7 linked regions of the Coturnix japonica genome follow. The protein of the gene in region 5 interacts with the protein of the main gene of each other region in a biochemical or structural test. Links are inferred from orthologs where the notes say so. Each region holds a gene or a part of one and is shown on either strand. Other genes may lie near its edges. The genes, in order: ARVCF, PKP4, plasma membrane calcium-transporting ATPase 4, ABCA1, ERBIN, ACVR2A and KCNA4.

Region 1 (3,962 bases), on a different chromosome or scaffold from region 5:
TAAAGACTAAAGCTAAACGTCATCTCACACTTGGCTGCTTCAGCATTTGTTTACAGCGTTTGTTCCAGAGCTTCATACTCACATCATAAAATATTCAGAGCAACAAATTATGAACCTGGTGCCACAAGAGCTCTGAGCAGCTTTCCCTCACAACGCATCAATTCTGACAATGCCAAAAACCCACCAAAAACGCTGCAGAAGTCATGTGCTGTATTGCATAAAAGCACATAGAGCAGCTTAGTTTTATATAACTAACATGCATGCAGATGGGCTGCATGGTAAGACACCTACTCTAAACTGCAGTTTGTACAAAATATGTTTGCACAAAGTACACGGCAGGAATTGTGCCCTTTCTATGCAACATCCTGACTGAATACAATGGCAATGTCTCTCCCTTCACAACTGTTACCGGTTCTTCCCATATTAAAGAAGTTCAGAGACTAAAAGCTGCTGCAGGGATTTTAAATGAACAGATGAGAATCAAGCTTAACATTTTAACTGAGAGCTATATTAAAAACAACTGCATGTCACTAACTAGTTTGATATTTGCCCTAGGTGAAAAATTGTCATGAATCCCAGCTAAATACCAGGTCAAATCCAAGGGCAGGTTACATTCATGGAATGCCAGTTACATTGACAGCAACTATGGCCGAGATGGTAAAATCCAAGTCAACTTTGTAAAGATCACACGTCAAATAAAATACATTCTAAGTACCTTTGGACAATACACGAAGATAAACTACGCAGTGAAAGTATGCACTGTGACAGCACTGTTCTGCTAAACCTTGCGCTCCTCATACATTCCTTTAGCCAAGCAAAGGGAAGATAAACCCATTTGCCTAATGGAGCGTGTAATTTAAATATTTTAGACAAGCATTTACAGAGAGGTTGCTTAAAATAAATGGAGCAGCCGTCCATCCATCCAAGCAGTCTGTGTGATGGAAGGCACTGCAGAGTTCACAACTTATTTTTCCGGAGCTACGCAGCCCTTTCAGTTACTCCAAGCGCTGGGTATGCCCTGCTTTACTGAGGACAACAAAACAGCCCTTCCCAAGCAGATTTAACGTGAAGCTGCAGTTGTCTCTGTTGCAGTCACATTCCTGAAGCCACCACAATTTGAGCTGAGTGCTGCCCCACACCACACAGCCTTCCACCAATGTGTAAACAACATATGTTGAGAATTATGGATCCTGAAAGGAGCGATGTACTTAATGCAGCCTGCAGCACTTCATCGCGGGAGGTACAGGGAGCAATGCCACAACTCCATCATGGAGATCACGATTCTTACTATCAGGATTCTCAGTAATGCAAGCAGTGCTGTTAGGCACAGAAACTCGCACCCGGCACTACCAGCATCAGCAGGTCAGCACTTGACTGAAATTTATCAGCCAAGGATTTTATTATATACTGGGAATCTCACGCTGTACTGTGAGCTGCCTAAGGCACAGCAGTGCAATGCAAAGGGCGTATAGGAATTACCCCTTCCACATGCACAAAGAAGCGCGTACATCTAAAAAACAAAAGGATAACGGCAGCCCTTACTATGGGTATGAGTGAAGTGAGCATGTTACCGAGCTGTGCCCAAGTTCTGCAAGCATTAGATTTCAATCATGTAGTGCTGCAGGGAAATGAAAGGAAGGGAAAAGGAGACAGCAAAGAAGGAAAGCACCCAACTTCGGCTCTTAAGTTTGTGGCGGATCTCACGTCTGTGAAGGAACAGATCCGCTCCGTTCGGTCACAGCCATCTCGCCCGCCGCAAACAGCCCGAGCGATGTCACAGCGCTGTGCTGAGGGGCAGCTCAGCCGTGCGGCCGGCAGATGCGCTTTTATCCGTCCGTACACATCAACTCCTCCCCGCGTACCCCGCAATGAAGCGATACACGCCGTTATCAGCCCCAAGCTCCGATCTCCGGCGAACAAAGAAGGCTGAGGCTGCTCCGCGATCGCGGCGCAAAATCCTTCACCAGCCGCGCCGCACCCCGCGCCCCGCTCCGAGCCCAAACACCGCTCCGAGCCCATCCACCGCCCAGCGCCGCCACCCGCTCACCATCTCCTCCGCCTTCTCCCGCTCCTCGGCCCCGGGCTGACGTCGCTGGCTGCCGCCGGCTGCGCGTCGTGTCCGGGAGGCGGCGTACAGGGAAGGGAAAACACCCGGCGCCGTTGAGCGGAGCGCTCGGCAGTAGCCGTGCAGAGCAGCACCGCACCCCGCAGCACAGCACCTCGCAGCACAACACAGCACAGCACAGCACAGCCCCGCAGCACAGCACAGCACAGCGCATCACCCCGCACCGCCGGTCCCGCAGCGCATCCCGCACCGCCCCGCGCGCTCCCCCGGGCCTCGCCTCCTCCTCACCCGGCGCGGCGGCTCGGGAACGTCCTGCCCCCAGCCCGACCCTGGCTACAAAGGGCCCATCTGTACCCGGGGCAGGTGGGAGGGTCCCTCAGCCCTTCTCTCTCGCGTTCCTCCGCCGCGAGGGTTTCGGCTGCCGCGTGCGGCTCGGGCCGGTCCTGCAGCTCCGAGGGCGGCGCTGACTGACAGCCGCATTGAAAACAAGCGACCTGCCGAGCGGAGCGCAGCGCCTCCAGCCGCGGCCCCTCGCGCGGGCCCCGGGCAGCACCGCTACCGCCCGTCAACTCTTTATTCCCTTAATCGGGGCATTATCGTTCCGGCCGCTCACGATGAAGGGGGGACGGCAGCGGCCCCGTCCCTCCCCACAGGCGGCTCTGAGGGGCGGCTCTGAGGGGCGGCCCCGCTCTCGCTCCCCGCTCTGTCCCTCCGCAGCAGCCGCGCGAACCGGCGCGCGCCGCCAGCAGCCGCGAATTTTCCTATTGGCCGCTGCCTCCGCGCTCGCGCTCAGCAACCAGAACCTCATTGGCTCTCTCCGCTCCCCGCCGCAAACCGCATTGGCCAACGGGGCCGTCAGTCAGAGCGGCACGGCACGGCCCGCCCCCTCGGCGGCGGGCGGCGGGAGGTTCCTCAGGGCCGCTCAGCGCACGGAGCTCACACAGCTCGTCCGGTGCGGGGCGAGGGACGGGCTGTGCGCTGTGACGGGCCGTGACGGGCCGGGCCGGGAGCTCGTCCGCTTCCATTGGGCCGGGATGATTTAATGCCGCGTCAGGTGGCTCCGTCACGTGAGCTGCCCGTCCAGCCGGCCCTGAAGGTCCCGTCCCCGCCTACAGATGGGGATGGCGACACGGAGCCGCTGCTCAGTGCTGACAGGATGCTGGAGCTGCGCCCGGTGCGTCCCACGTAACGTATTGCAGCGGGTACGAGGCAGGACAGTTATATCAGACATCAGAGTTATAACAGACATCAGAGTTATAACAGACATCAGAGTTATAACAGACATCAGAGTTATATCAGACATCACGGCCGCTTCTCTTGGTTTCTGTGAGCAGCTCGGAGGCCCCGGACAGTGTCTGAACGGGAATCGCTGCTGGGACGGGGGCACGGAACAAGCCTTGTTGCCGGGCAGCGCTGCCGTCCCTTCTCAGGGCTGTGGGGACGATGCGGGTCGCGCTGTGGCACTGAAGGCAGGGCCGGCTGCCGACCGCCACAGTTCTGCTTTCCAGATGAGAGGTTTCGCCTCAGAGACCACATTGCACACTCGTACACCCCTAGAAGGTCTTTTCTTTCCATTAACGTTTAATCTCTTGTGTATACGGTGTTTATTACTCGTAGAGAAGAGCAATCGCGGCCTTTCCGCCCTTCCTTTGGAGGCATTCCCACATAACACTCCTCATTCACAACTTCCATTCCCGCGGTGGAATCATACACTGTGTGCAGTGAAAGCCGGGCTCACCTGCGCGCCAACCGCCCTCAGCGCCCACCCTGAGGGGCGCGGGATCCAGCCAATGGCGGCTCGAGGAGGAGAGGCGGGGGAGCCGTTGTCCAATAGCGCGCGGGGGGCGGGGCTTCCTCAGGTAATGAGGGCGGGCGTCGCCTGCAGCTCGCTGTGCTG
Region 2 (4,031 bases), on a different chromosome or scaffold from region 5:
GTCCACTGCCCTCTGCAGCAAAGCCTTCCCCTCACTTCCACCTGACCCCCCACATGCTCCAAGCTGTTCCCTTGGGCACTGTTGCTATCACCATAGAGCTGCCATATCACCATAGGCTGCCACAAGGCCACTCCTCAGGCTCCTCTTCTCTGTGCTGATCCAACCCAACTGCTCCTCACGCGTGTTCCTTCTACACAGAAGCATACAGCACTGGAAATGAGCAAGGGAAACTGGAATTTTTGGCCCAGTCTAAGGGTTATGATACCACAGGCTCAGTGAGTCAGCAGGGCACTGTGCACTGCTGCAGTGCTGAGACTGATGGCTCAGACTGATGGCTTAGAATGATGGCTTAGAATGATGGCTTGGAATGATGGCTTGGAATGATGGCTTGGAATGGTGGCTTGGAATGATGGCTTGGAATGATGGCTTGGAATGGTGGCTTGGAATGATGGCTTGGAATGATGGCTTAGAATGATGGCTTAGAATGATGGCTTAGTCTGATGGCTTAGAAGGCCAATGCCACCCTGGCTGCTATCAGGAATAGTGCAGCCAGCAGGAGCAGGAGGTGTTTGTCTCTCTGTGCTCAGCTCTGGTGAGTTCAGGCTGGACATTAGGAGCAGTTTCCTCACCAAAGGAGTGCTCAGGTGCTGTAATACTGCCCATGGGGGGTGGTTGAGTCCCTGACCTTTGGAGACGTCCATAATGTTCAGATGTTGTATTAAAGGATGTGATTTAGTGGGGAAATACTGGTGGTAGTGGACACTTGGTCTAAATGGCCTTGGAGCCCTTTGCCAACCCTGGTAATTCTATGATTCTGAGAGATATTTTTGGGGGAGAATGTTGCAGGTCACACAGCAGCAGAACTAAAATAAAGATAAATGGGATTAATTTCAAATGAAATAACGCTGAAGGTCGCAAGCAGCAAGCTGAAAGGCCAAGAGATGGCAATGAGCCACCTTACATAGCCTGTGCCTCCCGTATGCTCAACAGCAATGCTCAGAAATACACTTATATTTGTTAATATACTCCAATATCGGACACTTACCGGCCGTGGAGCGGCCCGGCTCTCTGTGGTGAACACCCGGCATCGCGCCGCCTCACAGCATCGTTAACCATAGCAACCTCAACTCCCCCCTCCATTGGCGAGCTCATCGCGACGCTCAACCAATCCCGTGCCGTCCTGAGCACCGTACAACCAATAGGCGTTGAGAGGTGGGCGGGGCGTAGCGTGACGTACAGCGGGAGGCGGAGCGAGGCCGGGCGGAGCGGGCGGAGGCGCCACAAGCGCTTCAGCCGCCGCCACCATGGAGACCCCGGGTTAGGGCCCAACCGGACCGACGGGCGGCCTCGCCCGCCGCCGCCTGCGGTGAGTGGGACAGCGGGGGGAGCTGGGCCTTGGGCGGGGGGCGGCGGAGCTCGGGGCCGCGGCGGGCCAGCCGCCGCGGCCCCGAGCTCCGCCGCCCCCCGCCTTGACTCCGTCCGTCGCAGCGCGGAGCCCCGAGGCCGCAGCGTTTGAGGCGGAGCGACGCGGCCCTGTGTGTGTGTGTGTGTGTGTGTGTGTGTGAGTGTGAGCACGGCGGGCATGTGAGCACAGCGCACCTTTGCACCGCGCCGGGATGCAGGGCTGGCCATCGAGGTGTGGTCTGCTCTGCGGTACGGCTGACGTGACGGTGCCGCGCTGTGTCTGTGCCTTAGAGGTCAAGGGAAGAAGGAGAGAGTTGCGTTTTGCTGTTCGATGGGGGAGATTCGTTTGGCCATTGCCGGGCGTTGTGGAGGGGCTGCTCTGTGCTCAGCCGATGGGGAGCATTAATAATTGCACTCTGCACTCCTGCTCGGCTTCACGTGGTTGTTAAAGTGTACACACAGAGGTTGGATCCGAGATGAAGGAGGGAAGATTTAGGTTGGATGTTAGGGGCAAGTTCTTCACTAGGAGAGTGGTTAGGAACTGGAACAGGCTACACAGGGAGGTTGTGGATGCCCCGTCCTTGGAGGTGTGCAAGGCCAGGTTGGACGGGGCCATGGGCAACCTGATCTATGGGGTCTCTATGGGGATCTATGGGGTCTCCTGGGCAACCTGATCTAGTACATGTGTATATTTGGTGGCCCTGCCAGGCAGGGGGGTTGGAACTACATGATCCTTGAGGTCCTTTCCTACCCGGGTCATTCTGTGGTTCTGCTGGATGTTGGCAGTACGTTTGAATGGCTTTGTGAGTGCTGCCTTGGTTTTGTTGGGCTTTATTCATTGATTTATTTTTTTCGGTTGTGCTGAAAATGAGCAATTTCTGCAAGTGTTTCTCTGGTTGTTTGGAAGAAAGCACCTGTTCCAGGGTCGGGGTTAGCAGGAAGAGGCTGTTGTTACAAGCATGAACAATAATTGGGTTTGTTAGCAGAATACAGTGATACCACGTAGAAAAGTGCCCTGGAACGGAGGTGTAGCTCTTGGTGCTTGAGGGGAGGGCCTTGTGATGTCAGCTGCATTTTGTATTGCTCTCATCTCCTATTTATGTTCTTAGTATTTTCCATCAGTGTCCGGGTTAGCACCTGTGTGTACCAGAAGCTTCTCGCTCAGATTCATCCCAGGGTCAATGGAGCAGAGCAGCCCCAGGGCAATGAGGCCCGGTGTCTCCTGCTGTGCTGGTGCTGCTCTGGAGCTGAGGGCAGCCCTGGCTGTGCCCGGGGTGAAGGACAGCAGGGAGGTGAGCTGGGAGCAGCAGCAGGAACTGTAACGTTTGGTGGGAAACGTCTTGTAAGAGTTACTGCAGAAATGGGGTTTTGTTGCCATGTATAAAACACACGGTGCATCTCCGTGATCAGCTCCTGCTGCAGTGGCTCCAACTCCTCGTACTTTCAGGAGTCATTGCCTTAGTTTCTGCATTTCGTTCAGCCACGTGCTGTTCAGGAAGAGGGAAGAACCACTTAAATTTCAGTCAATTGATGTTTTCGTTGTTGTTTTGTTTATTTCATTTTGAATAACGAAGGTCCTGAAACTATCACCAAAAGGAGAGGCTTAAGGTGGAAGTTCTCTCCATGGCAACTGGCAGCACTTGTGGAGCACAGGGCACACACACCTTGGGCATGTGCCGGGCTGGGCAGGGTGACGTGCAGCTCGGTCTGACTCAGCTCTTGCTGAAGGGCTGCGGCTCCAGGGCTCCAACCAGTCGGGCTGGTTTGCGGCTGCCAGGAGCCCAGGGAAGCTCACGGCCCAACTTTACCTTCCTTCCAACTTTACCTTCCCAGGTCTCGTCGCTTCCCTCTGTTCCAGGCAAAGGAAGGCAATAGCGTGTTAGGGAAAGTCAGAGGGCTGGGAAAAACCACTCTTAGTGTTTTTAAACAGGATGGCTTTTAAGCAATTCTGTTGTTTTCAGATATTTTTGATATGCATGCATCTCTTTCCCTATTATTGTTTTCTTCCCTCTGAACAGAAGAGCTAAATAAAGTATTCCTATCACCTCCTGTAGGTACAGAAGGAAAAAACAGCGAAGTACTGTTCTCTCTCCTAAATGTCTCCATGGTCATCTCTCGTGGATCTTTCTTCCCACCCCTGGTCCTTTAATTTGCAAAGCATAGGGAAGCAAAGACCAGCCAACCTCCTGCTAATTGGCTTTTTCAATCAGAGTAACTGTGCCTTTATTTTAGCACACAGAATAAAACTACCAGCTATTACTTTCTGCGGGGGATTGATCCATCATTTAAGAGGAACTGAAGTTAACCTCTTTTCTCTCCCATGCTCTGGGATCTGTTCTTTATATGAGATGTTATCTGGGTGCTTTAACTGAAATGTGGTGAGTTTCTGTGAGCCTTAAATCAAATCTGTAGCTAACCTCGTGTTCTGTGATTTGATATTAAGGGGAAGAAAGAAATCTGTTGTAAGTCCTTTGAAGATGTACGAGCTGCAACTTGTCTGCTTCGCAGCTCAATGGGGGGATTTTTAATGTAGTTACTGTTTATGCAACCATAGGCTAATAATTATGGGCAGTGAGTAAAATTTACCCTCTAGCTATTGGATCCGCAAAGCAAAAGCTTCATAGATA
Region 3 (3,500 bases), on a different chromosome or scaffold from region 5:
GATTGCCTCTGGCAGGTGAGGTGAGCTGTCTGGGGTCCCGCATTCAGTGCCTGATGACAGTGAGCCCACAGCAGAGGTGCTGCTGGAGCAGTATGTGTAGCCCCTTGGAGGAGGGCTGACCCTTCCTATCCCTCTGTCTGGTCTGTGTGCTCAGCCCTGCACCCTTTCTCTCTTTGAACAGGTAAAAAAACCGGAGCCCCTGAAAATCGCAACAAAGGTAACCAGCCTCTCCATCCTTTGAACCAGCACCACACTAACTACAAAGCATTCCTCCTTCCTTCTTCTCATGAGTCTGTGCTCTTTGCTACTCTGGCGGGACTCTCGCCTCGTTTTCCTGGGAGAGGGTGCAATGGTCCCACAGCTCCGGCACAATGGGATCAATGCCCCATGGCCTCTGCTTGGGGCGCAGTCTTTGGGAAGGGAAGACAAGCCTATTCCTGGCAGTTCAGACTGCTGGCACAGCATCCCTTGGTGCAAAGCAAGTCCCTATTGACATGACCTAGTGGCTCTGAAGCATTTGTGCTGCTTTCCTGCAGGGTGTGTATTTTGGCATGGTGGGGCAAGAGGCACAGGTCACATCCTCCTGGGATAAATCTCCTGTGAGACCCGGCCTGTGTGGTGGTTGCACCCTCTCCTCCCATGGCCTCGACTCCGTGAGCGTCTCCTCGCCGGTGTTTCTCACCCTGTTCTTTGCAGGCTGTGGAGGAAGCCCATTTCTGCACCTCTCTCTCCACCCCCCTCTCTCTTTCTTTCCTCTCAGCAGTTTTGCCCTCCTTCCTGCCAGATGTGTCTGGGTGCTTGTTTTGTCCGTGTTGTTGTAACTGTGGAGGTGTCAGGGCAGCCTGGGGCTGTCTCTGACCATTGAGCAGTGGCTGCCAGGAGGGGATGGGTCCTGGGGCTGCTGTGGGGTGGTTTTGCTGCTCCCCCAGCCCAGCAGATCTCAGCCTTTGCTCCACCATCCCACCCCATGCCGCCCAACCCAGCTGGGATTTTTTAGCTGAGGGGAGGCCATGGAGCTGGGCTACGGAAGCCTGGCCTTTTTGGGTCCTAAGAACATAATGGACAGCTTGGGGCTGGGATTGTAGGAGCTGGTTCACTCCTCTTTCAACTCCTTTGGAATGTCTTAACTGTTCTCCTCCATCTCACCTCTCCAGTGCTCTTATATGTAATGGATTCCTGCTGAGCCTCCAGAAGGGCTTTAAAAAGGGCATTAAACCGCAGAAGAGGGGTACAGAGCAGAGAGAAGTCCTCTACAAGCTTGACCCACTGTGTTGTAGCTGGGGTGGGGTCTGCTGGTGCACTGGAGCTGCTTTGGGGCAAACCCAGCATGCTTTTCTTGTGCTGCAGGGTGTGAAGCAGCTGGGGAGAGGTTGGAGATGTCCTGCCTGTGCCCGGCAGCCAGGTTAGGGATCTCTGGCAGCACTTCTGTGACCCATAGCCAGCGTCAGCCCCAGGACCCTTCCTGCATGGGGCTGGGGCATGGGGTAGATGTAAAGACTGCCCCATAGAGAGGCAACAGGGCCCCAGGACAAGAGATTTCCATGTGCTCGGATATGTGTGTCATGGAGGATGGTTTGTGCTCTGGGTTTTCTCTCTTTCCCACCACCGTATTTCTCAGTGGTGTCCTGCAGATCTCCCTGGTCTCTCTCCTACTCACACGTGGTGTCTTATTTTGCCCTGGGGCTGTAGCTAAAACTCAGGATGGTGTGGCCTTAGAGATCCAACCCTTGAAGAGCCAGGAAGGGGTGGAAAATGAGGAGAAGGAGAAGAAGAAAGTGAAGGTGCCCAAGAAGGAGAAGTCTGTGCTCCAAGGGAAGCTGACGCGCCTTGCAGTCCAGATTGGGAAGGCAGGTGAGCCATCACCCCGGGTGTCTCACTGGAGGTGGGACAGTGGGAGGGGGCTGATCCCTGCTTGCCATCCCTGTGTCCCCTCACTTGCTGCTTGGCATCCTCTCCCAGGGTTGATTATGTCAGCCATCACGGTGATCATCTTGGTGCTGTACTTTGTCATCGACACCTTTGGGGTACAGCGTCGGCCCTGGCTGGCAGAATGCACCCCCATCTACATCCAGTACTTTGTCAAGTTCTTCATCATCGGTGTCACCGTGCTGGTAGTGGCTGTGCCTGAAGGGCTCCCACTGGCAGTCACCATCTCCCTGGCCTACTCAGTGAAGGTGAGACCAGTAGGGGCATGGTGGGTGTGGAGAAGTGTGATGGGAATGTTCAGGCTTTTGGCTTTAACCTTCCTGGTCATGCTGCAGAAAATGATGAAGGACAACAACCTTGTGAGGCACTTGGATGCTTGTGAGACCATGGGTAATGCCACTGCCATCTGCTCAGACAAGACCGGCACGCTCACAATGAACCGAATGACTGTGGTGCAGGCCTACGTGGGGGACACCCACTATCGCCAGATTCCTGACCCTGAAGCCATCTTGCCCAAGGTCCTGGACCTCATTGTCAATGGTGTTGCCATCAACTCTGCCTACACATCCAAGATCCTGGTGAGTTGGCTCTTGAGAACCACAGCCTTACGTTCCCACTGTTGGCCATCGCTACTGCTTCCATCCCACTGTGTTCTGCAGTGCCCAGGTTTGACATTTCTTTTCCTTTCCCTTTTTCCTCCAGCCACCAGAGAAGGAAGGGGGGCTACCCCGGCAAGTGGGGAACAAGACAGAGTGTGCCTTGCTGGGCTTTGTGCTGGACCTGAAGCAGGATTATCAGGCTGTGCGGAATGAGGTGCCAGAGGAGAAGCTGTACAAAGTCTATACCTTCAACTCTGTGCGCAAGTCCATGAGCACAGTACTCAAGAACAGTGACAACAGCTTCCGCATGTACAGCAAGGGAGCCTCTGAGATCATCCTCCGCAAGTAACTGTCGTCCCCCCCCTCCACGCTGAGTCCTCTCCCCAACCCACCTGCCCCATGGACTTTGAGCTCTCAGAGCGGTGTTGAGCTGTTCTGGGGGATTGCAGGGTGAAGGGGACCCAGTGCTTGAGGAGGGGGGAAAGAAAGTGTGAGCATCAGGAAGTGCTGCTGTGCAAAGTGTTAGCTCTTTTTAGGGTGTCTCTAGTAAGGCTATAGGGGTACTGGGTGAGAGGTACTCATTTTACAGATGGGGGAAACTGGGTGGTGGAAGGAGGGGACTGCTGAACAGCCACAAGCAGTCTCCCTTACTCTCCTGTCCTGTCCTGTGGTAGGTGCACCAAGATTCTGGACAAGAATGGTGACCCCCGGATGTTCAAAGTGAAGGATCGAGATGAGATGGTGAAGAAGGTGATTGAGCCTATGGCTTGCCATGGGCTGCGGACCATCTGCCTGGCCTTCCGTGACTTCCCTGCTGACACTGAGCCTGACTGGGACAGTGAGAATGAGATCCTGTCTGACCTGACGTGCATTGCTGTGGTGGGGATAGAGGACCCTGTGCGGCCAGAGGTACTGTGGCCCCCATGTGGCTCTGACAGCCCATCACCCAGCTGTGCTCCTGGTCCAGGAGCCTCT
Region 4 (3,500 bases), about 34 Mb from region 5:
GAGATCCACTGATGGTGCTTCGCTGATTTCAGAGGAGCTTTGCTGACTTACTCCAATTGTGCAACTGTTTAGAAGATGCACAGATACAGAGAACTGAAATGGGGAAGGTCATTCAGATTGATGCTGTGCCTGAATGCATCTCCTGGCAGCATTTTTTAGTAATCTCATTTGTGATTCTGACTTATCAGTGAAAGGAAATGAACTGAGCTTGAAAGGATGGGAAGCTTTTAGAGAAAAATGTATTTCCTTCAAGCACCACCATGCGGGTGTGCTTTGATCACTGCATTAAAACCACTGGAGCCAATTTTTCATCCATTAGTAATATGCATCTCTTGGACTGCTTCCCTAATTTGGGAGCTCCCAAAAGCTTTCACTCACTCTTCACTCATCCATCGTATCACGTACAGCAGCCACTTCTTAGTGCTGGAATCTGTTGTCTTTGTTCTTCAGGTCCATCTTGACTGGCTTATTTCCTCCTACTTCTGGTACTGCCTTCATCCTGGGTAAAGATATCCGCTCAGAGCTCAGCACCATCAGGCAAAACTTGGGTGTCTGTCCACAACACAACGTGCTGTTTGACTTGTGAGTAACATCCATCATATGCGGGGCTGGTGCTATTGAAAGTTTGGGTTCCTTAGGAAACACTAGTGTTACATGAGCTAAGACAGCTATATCTTTAGCTGTGGCAGACAGCAGGGTGGTGTGAGATTGGTATAAGAGTGTTGTGATTATTAGTGGGTTCATATGTGACTATGAATTATTGACTTGAGCATGCAGTCTCATCTTTCTCCTCTCTTCAGAGAAATCCGCTACATTGAATGTAACTTGGCTAAATGGCTTAACACTGCCCACTGAATTGGGATGTTCTGGTTACTTTATTGAGCCCTTTAAAAGGAGTATTATTTGCCGTGGTGCTGAATAGCAACATTCTGAAATCAAGCCGTAACTGAGCACACCCGATCTGTAGCTGCTTTCTAAAAACTCAGGATTAAAGTTGTTTACCTAGGCAAACAAATATGCTTTGTGTAGTGCTAATGCAAGGATGAATTCCAGCTCACATCTGTGCCCTGAATTTGCTCTTGTTCCCTAGGCTGACTGTGGAAGAACACATCTGGTTCTATGCTAGGCTCAAAGGGTTGCCAGAAAAGAAGGTAAAAGAGGAAATGGAGCAGATGGCAATGGACGTTGGTTTGCCTCACAAACTGAAAGCCAGGACGAGCAAACTCTCTGGTAGGTTCATCAGCTTTTATATTTGTCAGCAGCTCCCTCAGCTTCAGAAAGGCTGTATCAGTGAGGGCCTGACGGAGGCTACATCACAGATTTTGATTGGATCCTCTGGTCAGATACGTAGGCTGCCACACATTGAAAAAACTAGTTATATATTAAGTACCTAATCATAATAAATGTTAGTAAACTTAACAATCTTATAGTATTTATGTTATCTAATACTGTAAAAAAAAAAAAAAAAAAGCAGTCACTTTTTCTGAGCATTCTGTACTTGTTTCCATCTTGACAGGGGGCATTCCCTCACACCATGGAATCTGTTTACCTATAATATAGCTGCCTGTTACATATATTCTCCAAATGCTAACTAGAATATTTGGTTTTTACAGGTTTAGGTGGAGGTGTCTCAGACCCTAACCTTCAAGTAACTTAACGCCTATATCATAGAATCTCAGAATGGTTTGGGTTGGAATGGATTTTGAACATCATCTAGTTCCAACCCCCCTGCTATAGGCAGGGATGGCTCCTGCTAGACCAGGTTGCTCAAAGCTCCATCCAGCCTGGCCTTGAATGCTTCCAGGAAGGGGGCATTCACAACTTCTGTGTGCAGCCTGTTCCAGTGTCCCACCGCCCTCACAGTAAAGAATTTCTTCCAGATGTCTAGTCTAGATCTACCCTCTTCCTCTTTAGAGCAATTTCCCATCATTCTGTTGCTACCTGCCCTTAGAAAAAAATCCCTTCCAAACACTGTGAACACTGTGCATTTCTTATATAGGCTTTTTTTCCCAGTTGATATCTTTCCCCCCTTTTCAGGAATATCAGGATTCCTGAATCAGTCTGTGCCAGGTATCTGGGGACTGGGACTGTTTTGTCTCTGACTCAACTATCAACACATTTGGCTTCAGTAAAGGAGAGCAGATAGTCAAAGGTTGGCTTCACATTGAAGAGCATAATATGAAATATAATGTCACTGCTGCCTCTTACACACTCCCACTGGAGGGGAATCTCTTTGGGCACCTGTTCCTACAACTCAAGCTTTTTCAGACCTGCTCCAGATCCTCAAAATTTGGTTAGGCATCTGAGCAAAGTGTGTGGTACTGCTGATGCTAAGATACATATGATTCATTTATAGAGGGGTTGTTGGTTTCCTGTAGAGGAATTGTGCTCTGCTGGGGAAAACTATCCTGATGAATTATTCTTTGTCCTGAAGGTGATGAGACCCTGAACGCATAAAACGGTATCAGCACTCAGTCTTCTCAGTGCTCTATTTTGATTTTTCTTGGAGAGCTCAATTTTCACTGTTCTGTTCTTTGCATCAGCCTGACCCCCTGTTTCTTGTTGTACCTTTCAGGTGGCATGCAGAGGAAGCTCTCAGTTGCCTTAGCCTTTGTTGGTGGATCCAAAGTTGTCATTCTGGATGAGCCCACAGCTGGAGTGGATCCTTATTCTCGGAGAGGGATATGGGAACTGCTTCTGAAGTATAGACAAGGTTTGTGGTCTTTTTTTGTGCTCCTAATGTAACAACATTGTGAAAAGCAGAAGAAAATCAATCTCTGATTCACAACTGTTCCCAAAATAGCGGTTTGCCTTTGCAAATCCATTGTTGCCTGTGTTGAGAAAGGAACAAAGCTTGCAGGATAAACACATTCTGCTCTCACCTGTCCTCGTCTTTCATCCAGTTCATGTCAGAGTTCACTGAACAAAGCTACTCACTGGATTGTCGGGATACTTAAAGACAGAAGGTCATGCCTTATGTGCATCACTGTCCTGTTTTATTGTAGCCATGATTGCTGATACTGAGTTAACCTACTTCAGCTGAGTGTAATGATGATGTGCAAAGGGTGGGGACAGTATACCTGTGACAACAGTTGTGACACTTTCCCATATAACTAACCTTGTTCAAACAAGCTACAACTTGGAAAACAAACCTCCCATTCAACTTCATGACAAAAACCAGATGGAAATGGCCTTTCTTGGCTTGGAAACATGAGTGTAGTTGACATACTGTAGTGTCTTCCTTTTCTTTCTTCCAGGCCGCACTATCATCCTCTCCACCCATCACATGGATGAGGCAGACATTCTGGGAGACCGAATTGCCATCATTTCCCATGGCAAGCTCTGCTGCGTTGGTTCTTCTCTTTTCCTGAAGAATCAGCTGGGGACAGGCTATTACTTGACCCTTGTCAAGAAAGATGTAGATTCCTCGTTGAGCTCCTGTCGAAACAGCAGCAGCACAGTGTCCTATCTAAAGAAGGTACAGTGAGCTCCTGCTGGTT
Region 5 (3,500 bases):
TTAAGAGGGAAATCTCTACTACAAAGCAGGTAACTATTGCAGACTTCTTCACAGTGAGGGTACAGAACACTGGAATGGACTGCCCACAGGGGCTGCAGGGTTTCCTTCTTCACTGACATTCAAAACCCGCCTGGAGGCGTTCCTGTGTGACCTGGTCTAGGTGTTCCTGCTCCAGCAGGGGGATTAGGTCTACAAGATCTTTCAAGGTCTCTTCCAATCCCTGACATTCTGTGATTCTTAAGGCGACAAAGAGGTAAGCCCTGCTCTTTAATGTGGAGCATTAATGAGGAGAGAGAAGACTAAAAAGAATCAATGGCAATCTAGACATTTGGAAGTTTCAGTGAAGTCAGAAGATAGTATTACACCTAACCTTTACCCCCACATCTTTTACAGAAACTGTCTGGCTTTCTCGTTTTGATTCCTTGGCAACATCTTCAGTAGACTCTTCATCCTTTAGCCTGTGTACAATTGTCTGGACTGTTTTGACCATATTCTTCAGCTCATCAGGATATGGAGTTGGATATCTCTTCAGATTGCCTTCCTGTGTTATAAAAAAGTAATAATCTAATTTTAATTAAACGCTTTAATTAAAGTACCAAGCTTTAAAATAGACAATGGATTCAAACAAAACATTCAGACCAACACCTAGAATCTCCATTTTGCAGTTTGAGTCTACCTAGATTAACACAATTTTAGAAAACCCAGCAAAATTACAAATCAATTATTTTTGCTTCATATTTGTCTGTTGATAACAAGCAGGAAGAGTAATGACAACTATAATATATCTAAATAAAAATCAGAATTAACCATTATTTCTCAACTATCCCTCTCCTGAAGCAGCACCAGTCCAGCAATTTCATAATTATATGCTCCATTTTAATGATGAGGAAAAAAAAATAGTCCAGTTTTATGCTCGTAAGCTAATAAATGAAGTTTTGATTTCTTCATCAGAGCTAAACCCACAGTCAAAGGAATAAAAAGGATGGGAGTCAGGTGTGCAATTGGGAAAAAGAGAGAGAGAAAAACCATGGTAAAAAATAAATACTAACCCGAGGTGGTGCCTCTCTCTCATCTTTGTCTTCATCACACTCAAATGCCACCTGAGCACGTTGTTTCCTCTGTTCTTCCCACAAAGATGGATTGAAGCTTTCATTGTCAGATATAAACATAACTAGAGAAAAAAAAACAGGCACATTTAAGAACAGCATGCATTACACAAAACAAAGCTCCTCTTTTACTTCTTTTTCTTAGGTGGATTTTTTTGTTTTGTTTTGTTTTTTGTTTTTTAAATTTATGCTTGAAAAGGAAACAAATTAACAATGCTGTAAGCTGAAAAAGAAATCCTTACCATCCTCAGTCCTTGGTTGCTGGGGGAACATGTAATTTGTAAGCACAGTTTTCTGTGTGTCAGGGTCAGCTTCTTTTTGAAGGGGGATAAGTGGTTTAGACTAAGAAGGAAATCAAAGAAGGACACATTAAGAAAATATCTGTATGTACAAAGTAAAGATTATCTACACATAACTTATAGAATGCAAGGCAGAGCAGTCTTCAATCATTTACCCTCTGAATAATTTTCAGAGAATGAAGTTATTAATATATGTCAGTAAACGACTGTCTTGGGAATGGAAAGAACAACTTCAAGAGAATAAACTGAATATTTAAAAAAAAAGCAACTATTTTTGCTAGGACTTATTACTGTCTCAAACCAAGCTGTTCTGGGATGCACAGATATACTTTGTCATTTACACCTATGGACAGCCAAATAAATAAATAAATAAATAAAATATTTAATGTAAGTGTGTGTATATATATACACACACACACACACATATATAATGTGTGTGTGTGTGTATATATATATATACATATATATATTATATATATATTAAATATATATAAAATATTGATATCAGACTGATAACTCCCACTCCTTATAAATCTTCCACTATACCACACTTGAGATCCATGAATTTCTGGAATCCCTGTAAGCCTTAGTGCCATTCAGGAAATTGGTAGAGTACAAAGGAATTAAAGAAGGCACGAGCGCACAAGTTACTTCTCAATAACTTGAAACATGGACAGCCATGAAGTTCAAAGGTAAGGCAAGCAACCTACCACAAAAAAGGTTATCCAAATTTTCTATAATGGCAGAACGATACCATATGCGTGTAAGCACTAACAAATTATCAAATACCACCTTTCTGGTTTTAAGAAATAACAAATTAGAAATTCCAACATCTGCTAAATTGTATTTCATATAAAAGCTTTGCCAGAGAAGCTCTAAAGGATATTAAACCCAATATTGTTTATTTTGAGAGAATGGACAAAATGTCAAGGAAGTACTTATGCACATACAAAGCACTCAAAATTCAAAAGATCACATATTGATTCAATTAGGAATAAAGTCAACCATTTTTTATAATTTTTCTCCCAGAAAATTTCACCTGATTGTCCGATAGCCACATAGCAGTGAGCTGCTGCAGTTTTGTAAAGGTAAACGGCAAATTCTTCAGCCTGCAAATTACAATAAAAGTTCATGAAAACACACTTTTCAATACTACAACTTGACAGTAGAATGGCATTCTGTTTTTTAGATACGCATTCCTGCCTATTCCAGCAAGCAGCTTAAAAGACAGTGGAAACTGAATTTATCTCATGTCAACAACCTGAACACAATTTTTAAGACAGCCATTAGCACTGTATATAAATCAGCTACTGAACTTAAGATCAAGACTGTTTATTTTATTAGAAGAATCCTCAGCAATTTTATTGCTATACGTGTATATTCAATATACACGTGCACTAAAATTAAGAAAAATTAAGAAAAAAGGGTCACAACTAAAATTGTGGGGTTTTTTTGTTTTTGAATAAAATGTGAATAAAATCAGGCTTAGGGTAGAGTACAAAGGAACTGGATTTGTTTAAAAAAAAAAAAAAAAGGGAGGGGGGAGAATTTAAATTTATCTCTCCCAATACATTTGAATTCTGCAAATTGATGAATTCAAAAAGGCCTATTTTGCCAGTTTTTATTGACCAGCTTTAATTAAAAACATGTCCTTCCTCTTTCTTGCCCAGCACATGTGTTTTATCACATACTGTGACACTTCTGTTCTCTGTCCCCTACATGCAATACAGGAAGCTATTTACTTAAATCATCAAACATATGCCTAATTCAAAGGAACAGTTTCATAAAATCGATAAACAGTAAATGAAATACATGCATTTCAGTCAGATTATAAGCTGTGGGATATAACGAAAGGTAGCACAGCACGTTCAGAAAAATGCCGCTACTTACATCTGGGTGACAGATATCAGTTACACTGAAGTACACTCAATGCTATTGCATTTTACATGATTTTTACTTGAATTACCTATTGTCACTCAGGTTGATGACCTTCAATTTCTGCATGTCACCCATTTCTTCTGGGAGAAACTCAAGCTTATTTGAATGCAAAAACAATACCGTTACGTGCTTCCAATTTCCAATCTGCAAAAAAAAA
Region 6 (4,115 bases), on a different chromosome or scaffold from region 5:
TGTTACACAGGTGGCATATTTGTGCTATTATATCTATCTATCTATATATATAAACACATACAATGGCAATATTTTTAGCTGTAATTTCCTGCTCATGTGGCAACACGACAAGCATCCCGAAGAAGCTGAGCAAAGTGAAAACGCAACCTGCAGAACAGGTCACGTTTAAATACTCTGCTATTGAAGAATATTAAAAGCTACAGATTAAGTAGGAGTGTTGTAATGCATTAATTAATGCTTGTAAATCATCCTGAAATGCCTGGATTAAAAAAAATGGCATAAAAAGTGTTGCCACACATCCCGGTGCTTCATGATGCGCACGATCCCATACGGCTTGTTTGATTTTGGGGTATTTTTCCAATCAAAAACGTCACTGGAGGATGACTTTGTGTTGGTGTTTGAAGTGAGGATCATAGAATCATTAAGGTTAACAAAGAGCTCTGAGATCCCCATGTGGACCCACCCCCCATGCCCACATCCAGGGCACATCCATGGGATGGTAACCCCCACCCGGTGCAGCTGTGCAGTGCCTGGCTGCTCTCTGGAGAACAAATGGCTCCTCGTATCTACTCTGAACCTCCTCCAGCACAACTTGAGGCCATTACCCAGCCTTGACTTACGTTTGGTGGCCCTGCCAGGCAGAGGGGTTGGAACTACATGATCCTTGAGGTCCCTTCCAACCCGGGTCATTCTGTGATTGACTTGCAAACCCACACATGTGAATTACCTCGCACACAGCACCCAATGTAGCACCACGTAACGACAGCTCCCCACCAAGGGAACTTGGACCGTAACCCTCCAATGCACATCTATAGTTAGTGATGTAGTTATTGAGAACTTGGTGCTTCTTGCTTCAGAAATACAGAAGTTAAATCCCAGCGCTGAGGCCTTTGTGCTTCCCCACATCAGTCCTCAACACCTAAACAAGCATTTCTTTATCCCTGATGCAAACTATGGGCATCTATTAAAGCCACCAACGGGGCATTAAATAAAGGAGGGCTTCCCACCGCAGTCGTTACACAGAGCAGCTCTGAGGGCGGCGCGAGCACCACGCCCTGAGGCGGGAAGGCGGGGCGCGTGCACGCAGCCCGCTCGCGCGCCTCCTCAGCCGTGCGCGCGCACACGCGGGCAGGTGGGAGGGGAGGGGAGGGGGGAGCGCGCCCCGCCCCCTCGGGGTGGGTCTGGAGGGGGGCGGGGCCGAGCGGCGCTCCTCGCGCTGTGATTGGGCGGCGCGGCTGTCAATCCGATGCGGCGCGCTCTCGCACGGCGTGTCTTGCCGGGCTGCCGTGAGTGTGGAGGGGAGGGGGGGGAGGGGGAGGAGGAGAGGAAACAAAAACAATCGGCCGGGCGCCGCCATCTTGGGTCCGTTCTCCACGCCACACAAGTGAATGGGTAGATATGAAATTACCACAGGGGAGCAGCGGCAGCAGCAGGGTACGGAGGGTCGTTCCGAGCTGCAGGTTGGACTTGGGAGACTTTAGAGACGGCTCCAACCACCAGCACCGCCCGCAGATCGAAACCGGGCTCGGCCTTTTCTCCTCGGCAACCCTCAAACCGCACTGCTGGAGGGACAAAGTTGGTGTCCGCCGCTCTGACAACGGCAAAAGGGAGACGGGAGAGACCAGCCGAGATCCGAGCGGGACGGGAGTGAGGCGGGAGGAGAGCTAAGGACCGGGAGATAAGGACTGAGGGCTGCGAGCTCAGGGCTGAGGGCTGGGAGCTCAGGGCGGCACGAGGGCTTCTCCTTGTCAGCCCTTCTCCTGTGGGCCCTTCTCCTGTCGGTCCTGCTTCTCTTTTGCGTTTATTTGTTTGTTTTTCCCTCAAAAGCAGCAGACTCGTTGCGGGGCGATGTCCCCGGGGGCTGCCGAGGGAAGGGCCCTGCGGGCGGCCGTGCAGCCCTGAGCGGCCCCGCGGAGCGCAGCCACCGGGAGCCGTGCCTGGCCTTGCCGTTGCTTTGCTCTTTATTTTCTTTATTATTATTTTTTTCCCTTCATTTTGCGTTTAAATACCAAGCCGAGTCTCGGGGGAGCTGGGTGGGTGGGGGGGGCATGGAAGCATCGTAGGGGGAGGAATCGTCGTAGAGGGGGGGAATCGTAAATCGTGTTTCCCGTAGCGGAGCGCTCAGCCCCGCTGCCGCTCGGACTGTCGGAGCGCTGCCCGGAGCCGCCATGGAGCCACCGCGCTGCCCGGAGCCCCGCGCTGCATAACGGGAACCGGGACATAGAGCGGGGAAACACGGAGCTTCATGACGGAGTGAGCGCCGATACACACCGCCTCGGATCGCACCCGGCGGCTCCGCCGTTGACTTCAATCAATCTTCCTTTATTTGCCGTGGATTCGTAGCGTACTTTTGTGAATTAAATCCCGCCGCTCTTGGTCCAGAAGCCAAATGACACGTGTGTTTTGAAACGCCGCTCACAATAGTTCGAGCCCCCCCGAACCCGGATTCTCGCTTTGAAGCGACCGTCGGTCTCCAAACGACCCCGATTTTACTGTTTGGTGAACACTATCAACGGAGAAGTTTGCTCTAGATCGCTTTATAACGGTTCCGCAAGAAGAGGGGATTGTCCGGCTTGCAGGACCGAGAAACTGGATGCTAAAAGTCACTTAAATGTTCTAACGCCATTGGAAAATGGGAGCTGCTACGAAGTTAGCGTTCGCTGTTTTTCTCATCTCGTGTTCTTCAGGTGAGTGCGTGCTTTTGTTGCTTTGGGCTCAGCTGTTGGAAGCACGAGGTGATTGTATCGGTGGGACGAGAGGTCATTTCTTGAGATGAGGTTTAGGTTGGATACCAGGAGGAAGTTTTTCCCCCAGAGGGTGGTGATGCACTGGAATAGTTTCCCCAAGGAGGCTGTGGATGCCCCATCCCTGCAGGCATTCAAGGCCAGGCTGGATGTGGCTCTGGGCAGCCTGGGCTGCTGGTTGGTGACCCTGCACACAGCAGGGGGTTGGAGCTGGGTCAGTTTGTGGTCCTTTTCTATCCAGGCCGTTCAGTGAGTCTATGAAATGCCAAACGTTTGGGGATGGCAGTGAAAGATTCCTGTTCTCACTGTCATTCCCCGGTGCACAACTCTTTCAGGTACGTGCAGTGCTCATAGTGCTCGTGTGGGTCCCACCCGGGGCTGTGCCCACCTCGTTCACTTGTGGGCAGTTCCCGGCCTCGTGTTTGCTCCAGTGGATTATTTACCAAGCTGTGAAATATTCCGAACTTAATTTAGGGCTCTGGAAGCGTCCAGCGGTGGATGGCAACCTTCATTAATGCTTCATTAGTTCGGAATAATTGCTGTTGTGAAAGCATGAGCTCATCCCGCACCGATAGCGAGGGCTGAGCACGTATCGGTGCGTGCACCGAAACAGCCCGAAAAGCCAGACTTTCCATTTCCGAACAGTGATTTGTGTTCAGCTGTTGGGTTTCGTGTTTTGCCGTTCGGTTTTTCACTTTCTTAGCGCCTGAAACCCGGCGGTCGTGCTGTGGCTCTCAGACCTCAGAGACGAGCGGTGTGAGAGGCTCCATCCTTTGGGCTGGGAGGGAAATGGTGATGGAGCAACCGGTGGCTGGAGAGCTGCTGCCACCAGCTGCACCTGAAACCTGCAGAGCTGTGTAACACTCGATGTGTTGCTCGTGTGCTGAGCCTGACCCTTCCTGCTCACGTGCTGAATGTGTGTGCAGCCCTCTGTGTGTGTGTCGATGCACTTTTGGGCTCTGTTCTGTGCAGTGCAGGGACACACTTGTTGCTCATCCTGAAGGCCGGCTGGCTTTGTGCGGGACTGCTCCAGGGCGGTAATGAGATCTGCAGAGCGATGATGCCTTTGAAAACTTCAGCCTTAGGATGCGAGGGATTTTGCTGAACGGCACATTTTCTTGTGGTTAGTAAATGGATAGTCTAGTCTTGTGTCTGTAGTGTTATTGATCAGTTCCGTGTGGGCTAAATGTGCTGTGAAATGGCGATCTCTGCCAGGGAGAAACTGAAAAAAACCCTTTCTGTTTTAAGCAGACAAATAGCAGGGCAGGTTAGGGAGAGATGGGAGTGGTTTTTTGGGTTATTTTTCTTCAGATTAGAGTACGCCATTTATTCCTATTGCGAAACAGCAGGCGATTTCTTGCAGTGATTTTG
Region 7 (3,500 bases), on a different chromosome or scaffold from region 5:
TTCACATTATCATATTAAAAAGTAGCCTTGTTTAATGCTTCACAGAAGAAATAAGAGTTGAAGCCTCCTCTACAATTTAAAATTATGAACTGGATATTTATACACAAGTTTTAAATCAGGGCTCAGTACAGTGCAGTCTTCTCAGAGCTTATTTATATATTTACTATGACTTCTGCAGTGCAATAGTAGGCAAGCAGAGAAAATTTTCCAAAATTTGATTCACAGAAAATCCATAAAGGCCAAAAACTCAATCATTAAGTAAAATCCTTTGGCTATGGCTCTGTTCTGTATCACTGGATGCTGGAGACAGCAAACAATGCCTTTCTGGTAGATGATGCATATCATCACAGCTACTCAATTTGGACAGGTTTTATTTCTGCTTTTCAGCACCAGAACTATAAATCACTGAATAGTTCTCTCCAGCAAACTCCCTCCTCACCTTTAAAGGAATATCACAAAACCACTGTAATTCAGTAGTGTTTGTAAGCACTCTTCTGTCTCACAACGTCCTGTCCCAGCCCTTAAAGTACATATGCCAATTTGGTTCAAGTTTTATAATTTGGAATGTTTCACAGTGCCTCAAAAACAGCTCCAATTACCTCCCTAGGTAATTATGCGTCTGAAAAACACCTGTTCTGAATCTATTATTTATGTTAAATGCAGGAATATCTTAGCTATTTAATTCTGGAGTCTGGAATGTGCTGTAGGTCAGGTAATCTTTACCTACCTTAATCTCCTATAAAGGGCAGTGGACATTTTTGACACAAACATACAGCTGGTCAAAGAATAAGTGAAAAGAATTCATGGAATGTTCTCCCAAGGACTACAAAGGACCCAACACAATCATTTTGAATCCCTAAATTCCTGTTTCAGATCCAAAATTTTGCTTGAAAGGTGGAAGCTGTAACTGAGGAAAATGTAGCACCAATAACATGTTAACTGTTAGTAATTCTGAATTGCTAGTACTGTAACAACTGAGTATCCTATTACTTTTACTTCTTGTCCCTATACATTGAGTTACTTCAATACTGGTAAGTGCATGTACTAAACATTAACTCTCAAAGTTAAATTAACATGGCAAAAATATGAACATGGAGTTAATCTTAATTGAGAACATCACTAGAAAACACTGATTTCAAATAATTTTGATTATAAAATTTTACTTCACAATCCTTTTCCAGATCACAGATATTCATAATGAAAAGAGTATGGAATTAATGTAATGTTAGCCATTTTGCCATCAGCATCACATAAAGGAAAAACAAAATTAAAATAAACAAACCAGAAAAAAAAGCCATAAAATATGATGCAGATCACTCTTCCAATGATTGTCATTGAACTATTACATTAGTAAACATTCACAGTATGAAGTCTCTTTCAATATAACTCCAGCATATAAAGTAGTGCAAAAAAGCATTCCAGTCATTTTGCCTTTGCAGTCAGACCAGGCTAAACAATTCTCTTACTTCATTTCTTTCATTATTAGACAACAAATGCTGCAATGCCTCCAAAGAGAGTTATAAAAATAAATCATTTCTGGAGGTTCAGCAGCCTTCTCAAAGAAAATTTCCAGTTAAAAACAAGCATTATAGGTTCCAAGAAAAAAAAAGAAAAAAAATTAGATCTATCTTCTGTAGAATATCTTTATACAATAAATTTACCATTTGAAAAACAAAGACTATGGTATCCAATGATTCATGGTAGCTGCTATTAAAGCACTGATAAATAGATAAATGATTTCCAAAGTTCATTGCTTCTTACATAGTAAATACCTCTGAATGCCAACTTTTACCACAGAGCTGTTAGCAGTGATGTCGAACAGTTCATGCACTGACTTTAAAACTGACTTGGTTTCAATAAATTTTTCAGCCTCGTGTGCAAAACACTTGCATTCTAGAAAAAAAATACAGTCTGAAGTTATATCAGATCTAGCAACCCCTTCCTCGAGTTATATCGCTTACTTGATATGTTCTACAAGTTTAACAATGCTTTTTTATTTGTGTTTAACCATTAAAATGGCATACTACTGTATGCTGTGGACTCGTTTGCATATTTCATTATTTCCACCGCACTCTTTAATGCATAAATATATTTGGAGACATAAAATAAATATATTTGTAAATTACACATCAGTTTCCACTGAATTTGAATTTACACAGTTTTTCTTCTCTGACTCACTACTATTCCCCGTGTCCTGACTTTTTTTCTCCTTTACACAAAGAGATTCTTTAACTCCTTCTTCCATCTCCAAATACTCTGATTTATCCTCTGTGGATGAAGATGACGAGCTTCTAAATTTCTTCAGTAAATTTGTTGGGAGGTAAGGGCAACTGACTGCATTTTGCATCAGCTGCGTTTGTTCTTCATTCTCAGTCTCTCTGTGATAGAAATAGTTAAAATTGGAGACAATCACTGGCACTGGTAAAGCAATGGTTAACACTCCCGCGATGGCACACAGGGACCCCACGATCTTGCCACCAATTGTCATGGGGTACATGTCCCCATAGCCCACAGTGGTCATGGTCACCACAGCCCACCAGAAAGCATCAGGGATGCTTGAGAAATGAGACTCAGGGTCATCAGCCTCAGCAAAGTAAACAGCACTGGAAAACAAAATTACTCCAATAAAAAGGAAAAAAATGAGGAGGCCGAGTTCCCTCATGCTTGCTCTGAGTGTGTGACCCAGGATCTGCAAACCCTTGGAGTGCCTGGAAAGCTTGAAGATGCGAAACACTCTGACCAGACGGATGATCCTCAGGATGGCAAAAGACATGGCCTGTTGACCATTACTGCCCTGCTCCTGAGCCAACTCAGTGCCCAGGGTGATGAAGTAGGGGATGATGGCCACAATGTCAATGATGTTCATGATGTTCTTGAGGAAATCTGCCTTGCTGGGGCAAGCAAAGAAACGCACCAGCAGCTCAAAGGAGAACCAGATGATGCACAGTGTCTCTACAACGAAAAAAGGGTCAGTGAAGATGGTGTGCTCCCCAGCATCCAAGTGAAGCGACTCATTGGAAAGACCCTTCCCTGAGCTCAGGGACATTATGAATTCTTTGTCATCTCTGAACTCCGGCAAAGTCTCCAAGCAAAAGATGACGATGGAGATCAAGATCACCAAGACAGAGACAATGGCGATGCCTCTGGCTGGACTGGAGCTCTCAGGGTACTCAAAGAGGAGCCAGACCTGGCGCTGAAACTCATTCTCTGGCAAAGCTTTGTCCTCTTCCTCTTTGACAAACCCTTCATCTTCCCTAAACTTGAGCATGGCTTCCTCCCCAAGTTGGTAGAATTTCACCTCCTCACTGAAGATATCAAAGGGTACGTTGACTGGCCTCTTCAGCCGACCACCACTCTGGTAGTAGTACAGTATGGCATCAAAACTGGGCCGGTTCCTATCAAAGAAGTATTCATTTCTGAGAGGGTCAAAGTATCTGCCTCGCTTTGCTGGATCACCCAACAGTGTCTCTGGGAACTGAGCCAATGTCTTCAGTTGTGTT

What was found.
Region 1: the proteins of ERBIN (region 5) and ARVCF interact in a test that uses a peptide from one of them, tested with the Homo sapiens proteins (3 studies listed by BioGRID and IntAct, with this or other methods). The link is inferred for Coturnix japonica from reciprocal best matches to the Homo sapiens genes ERBIN and ARVCF.
Region 2: the proteins of ERBIN (region 5) and PKP4 form a complex in vitro, tested with the Homo sapiens proteins (4 studies listed by BioGRID and IntAct, with this or other methods). The link is inferred for Coturnix japonica from reciprocal best matches to the Homo sapiens genes ERBIN and PKP4.
Region 3: the proteins of ERBIN (region 5) and plasma membrane calcium-transporting ATPase 4 interact in a test that uses a peptide from one of them, tested with the Homo sapiens proteins (2 studies listed by BioGRID and IntAct). The link is inferred for Coturnix japonica from reciprocal best matches to the Homo sapiens genes ERBIN and ATP2B4.
Region 4: the proteins of ERBIN (region 5) and ABCA1 interact in a test that uses a peptide from one of them, tested with the Homo sapiens proteins (2 studies listed by BioGRID and IntAct). The link is inferred for Coturnix japonica from reciprocal best matches to the Homo sapiens genes ERBIN and ABCA1.
Region 6: the proteins of ERBIN (region 5) and ACVR2A interact in a test that uses a peptide from one of them, tested with the Homo sapiens proteins (2 studies listed by BioGRID and IntAct). The link is inferred for Coturnix japonica from reciprocal best matches to the Homo sapiens genes ERBIN and ACVR2A.
Region 7: the proteins of ERBIN (region 5) and KCNA4 interact in a test that uses a peptide from one of them, tested with the Homo sapiens proteins (3 studies listed by BioGRID and IntAct, with this or other methods). The link is inferred for Coturnix japonica from reciprocal best matches to the Homo sapiens genes ERBIN and KCNA4.

Annotation. Positions count from the first base shown.
Region 1 is NC_029530.1:988,908-992,869, forward strand, and holds the start of ARVCF (armadillo repeat protein deleted in velo-cardio-facial syndrome), read right to left. Parts: upstream 2,801-3,962; 5' UTR 2,420-2,800; exon of another isoform or gene 2,354-2,419; intron 2,194-2,353; exon of another isoform or gene 2,048-2,193; intron 1-2,047. UniProt on the Homo sapiens protein: Contributes to the regulation of alternative splicing of pre-mRNAs.
Region 2 is NC_029522.1:33,189,955-33,193,985, forward strand, and holds the start of PKP4 (plakophilin-4), read left to right. Parts: upstream 1-1,231; 5' UTR 1,232-1,366; intron 1,367-4,031. Other genes in the region: CCDC148 (coiled-coil domain-containing protein 148), read right to left, coding at 1,046-1,088. UniProt on the Homo sapiens protein: Plays a role as a regulator of Rho activity during cytokinesis. May play a role in junctional plaques.
Region 3 is NC_029541.1:4,896,788-4,900,287, forward strand, and holds part of plasma membrane calcium-transporting ATPase 4, read left to right. Parts: intron 1-181; coding exon 182-217; intron 218-1,689; coding exon 1,690-1,851; intron 1,852-1,959; coding exon 1,960-2,174; intron 2,175-2,261; coding exon 2,262-2,504; intron 2,505-2,628; coding exon 2,629-2,870; intron 2,871-3,199; coding exon 3,200-3,434; intron 3,435-3,500. UniProt on the Homo sapiens protein: Calcium/calmodulin-regulated and magnesium-dependent enzyme that catalyzes the hydrolysis of ATP coupled with the transport of calcium out of the cell. By regulating sperm cell calcium homeostasis, may play a role in sperm motility.
Region 4 is NC_029547.1:48,638,351-48,641,850, reverse strand, and holds part of ABCA1 (phospholipid-transporting ATPase ABCA1), read left to right. Parts: intron 1-450; coding exon 451-582; intron 583-1,090; coding exon 1,091-1,230; intron 1,231-2,575; coding exon 2,576-2,713; intron 2,714-3,257; coding exon 3,258-3,478; intron 3,479-3,500. UniProt on the Homo sapiens protein: Catalyzes the translocation of specific phospholipids from the cytoplasmic to the extracellular/lumenal leaflet of membrane coupled to the hydrolysis of ATP.
Region 5 is NC_029547.1:14,171,919-14,175,418, forward strand, and holds part of ERBIN (erbin), read right to left. Parts: intron 3,488-3,500; coding exon 3,372-3,487; intron 2,515-3,371; coding exon 2,445-2,514; intron 1,449-2,444; coding exon 1,349-1,448; intron 1,172-1,348; coding exon 1,050-1,171; intron 542-1,049; coding exon 371-541; intron 1-370. UniProt on the Homo sapiens protein: Acts as an adapter for the receptor ERBB2, in epithelia. By binding the unphosphorylated 'Tyr-1248' of receptor ERBB2, it may contribute to stabilize this unphosphorylated state.
Region 6 is NC_029522.1:31,390,548-31,394,662, reverse strand, and holds the start of ACVR2A (activin receptor type-2A), read left to right. Parts: upstream 1-1,315; 5' UTR 1,316-2,632; coding exon 2,633-2,687; intron 2,688-4,115. UniProt on the Homo sapiens protein: On ligand binding, forms a receptor complex consisting of two type II and two type I transmembrane serine/threonine kinases.
Region 7 is NC_029520.1:5,299,640-5,303,139, reverse strand, and holds part of KCNA4 (potassium voltage-gated channel subfamily A member 4), read right to left. Parts: coding exon 2,123-3,500; 3' UTR 1-2,122. UniProt on the Homo sapiens protein: Voltage-gated potassium channel that mediates transmembrane potassium transport in excitable membranes. Forms tetrameric potassium-selective channels through which potassium ions pass in accordance with their electrochemical gradient.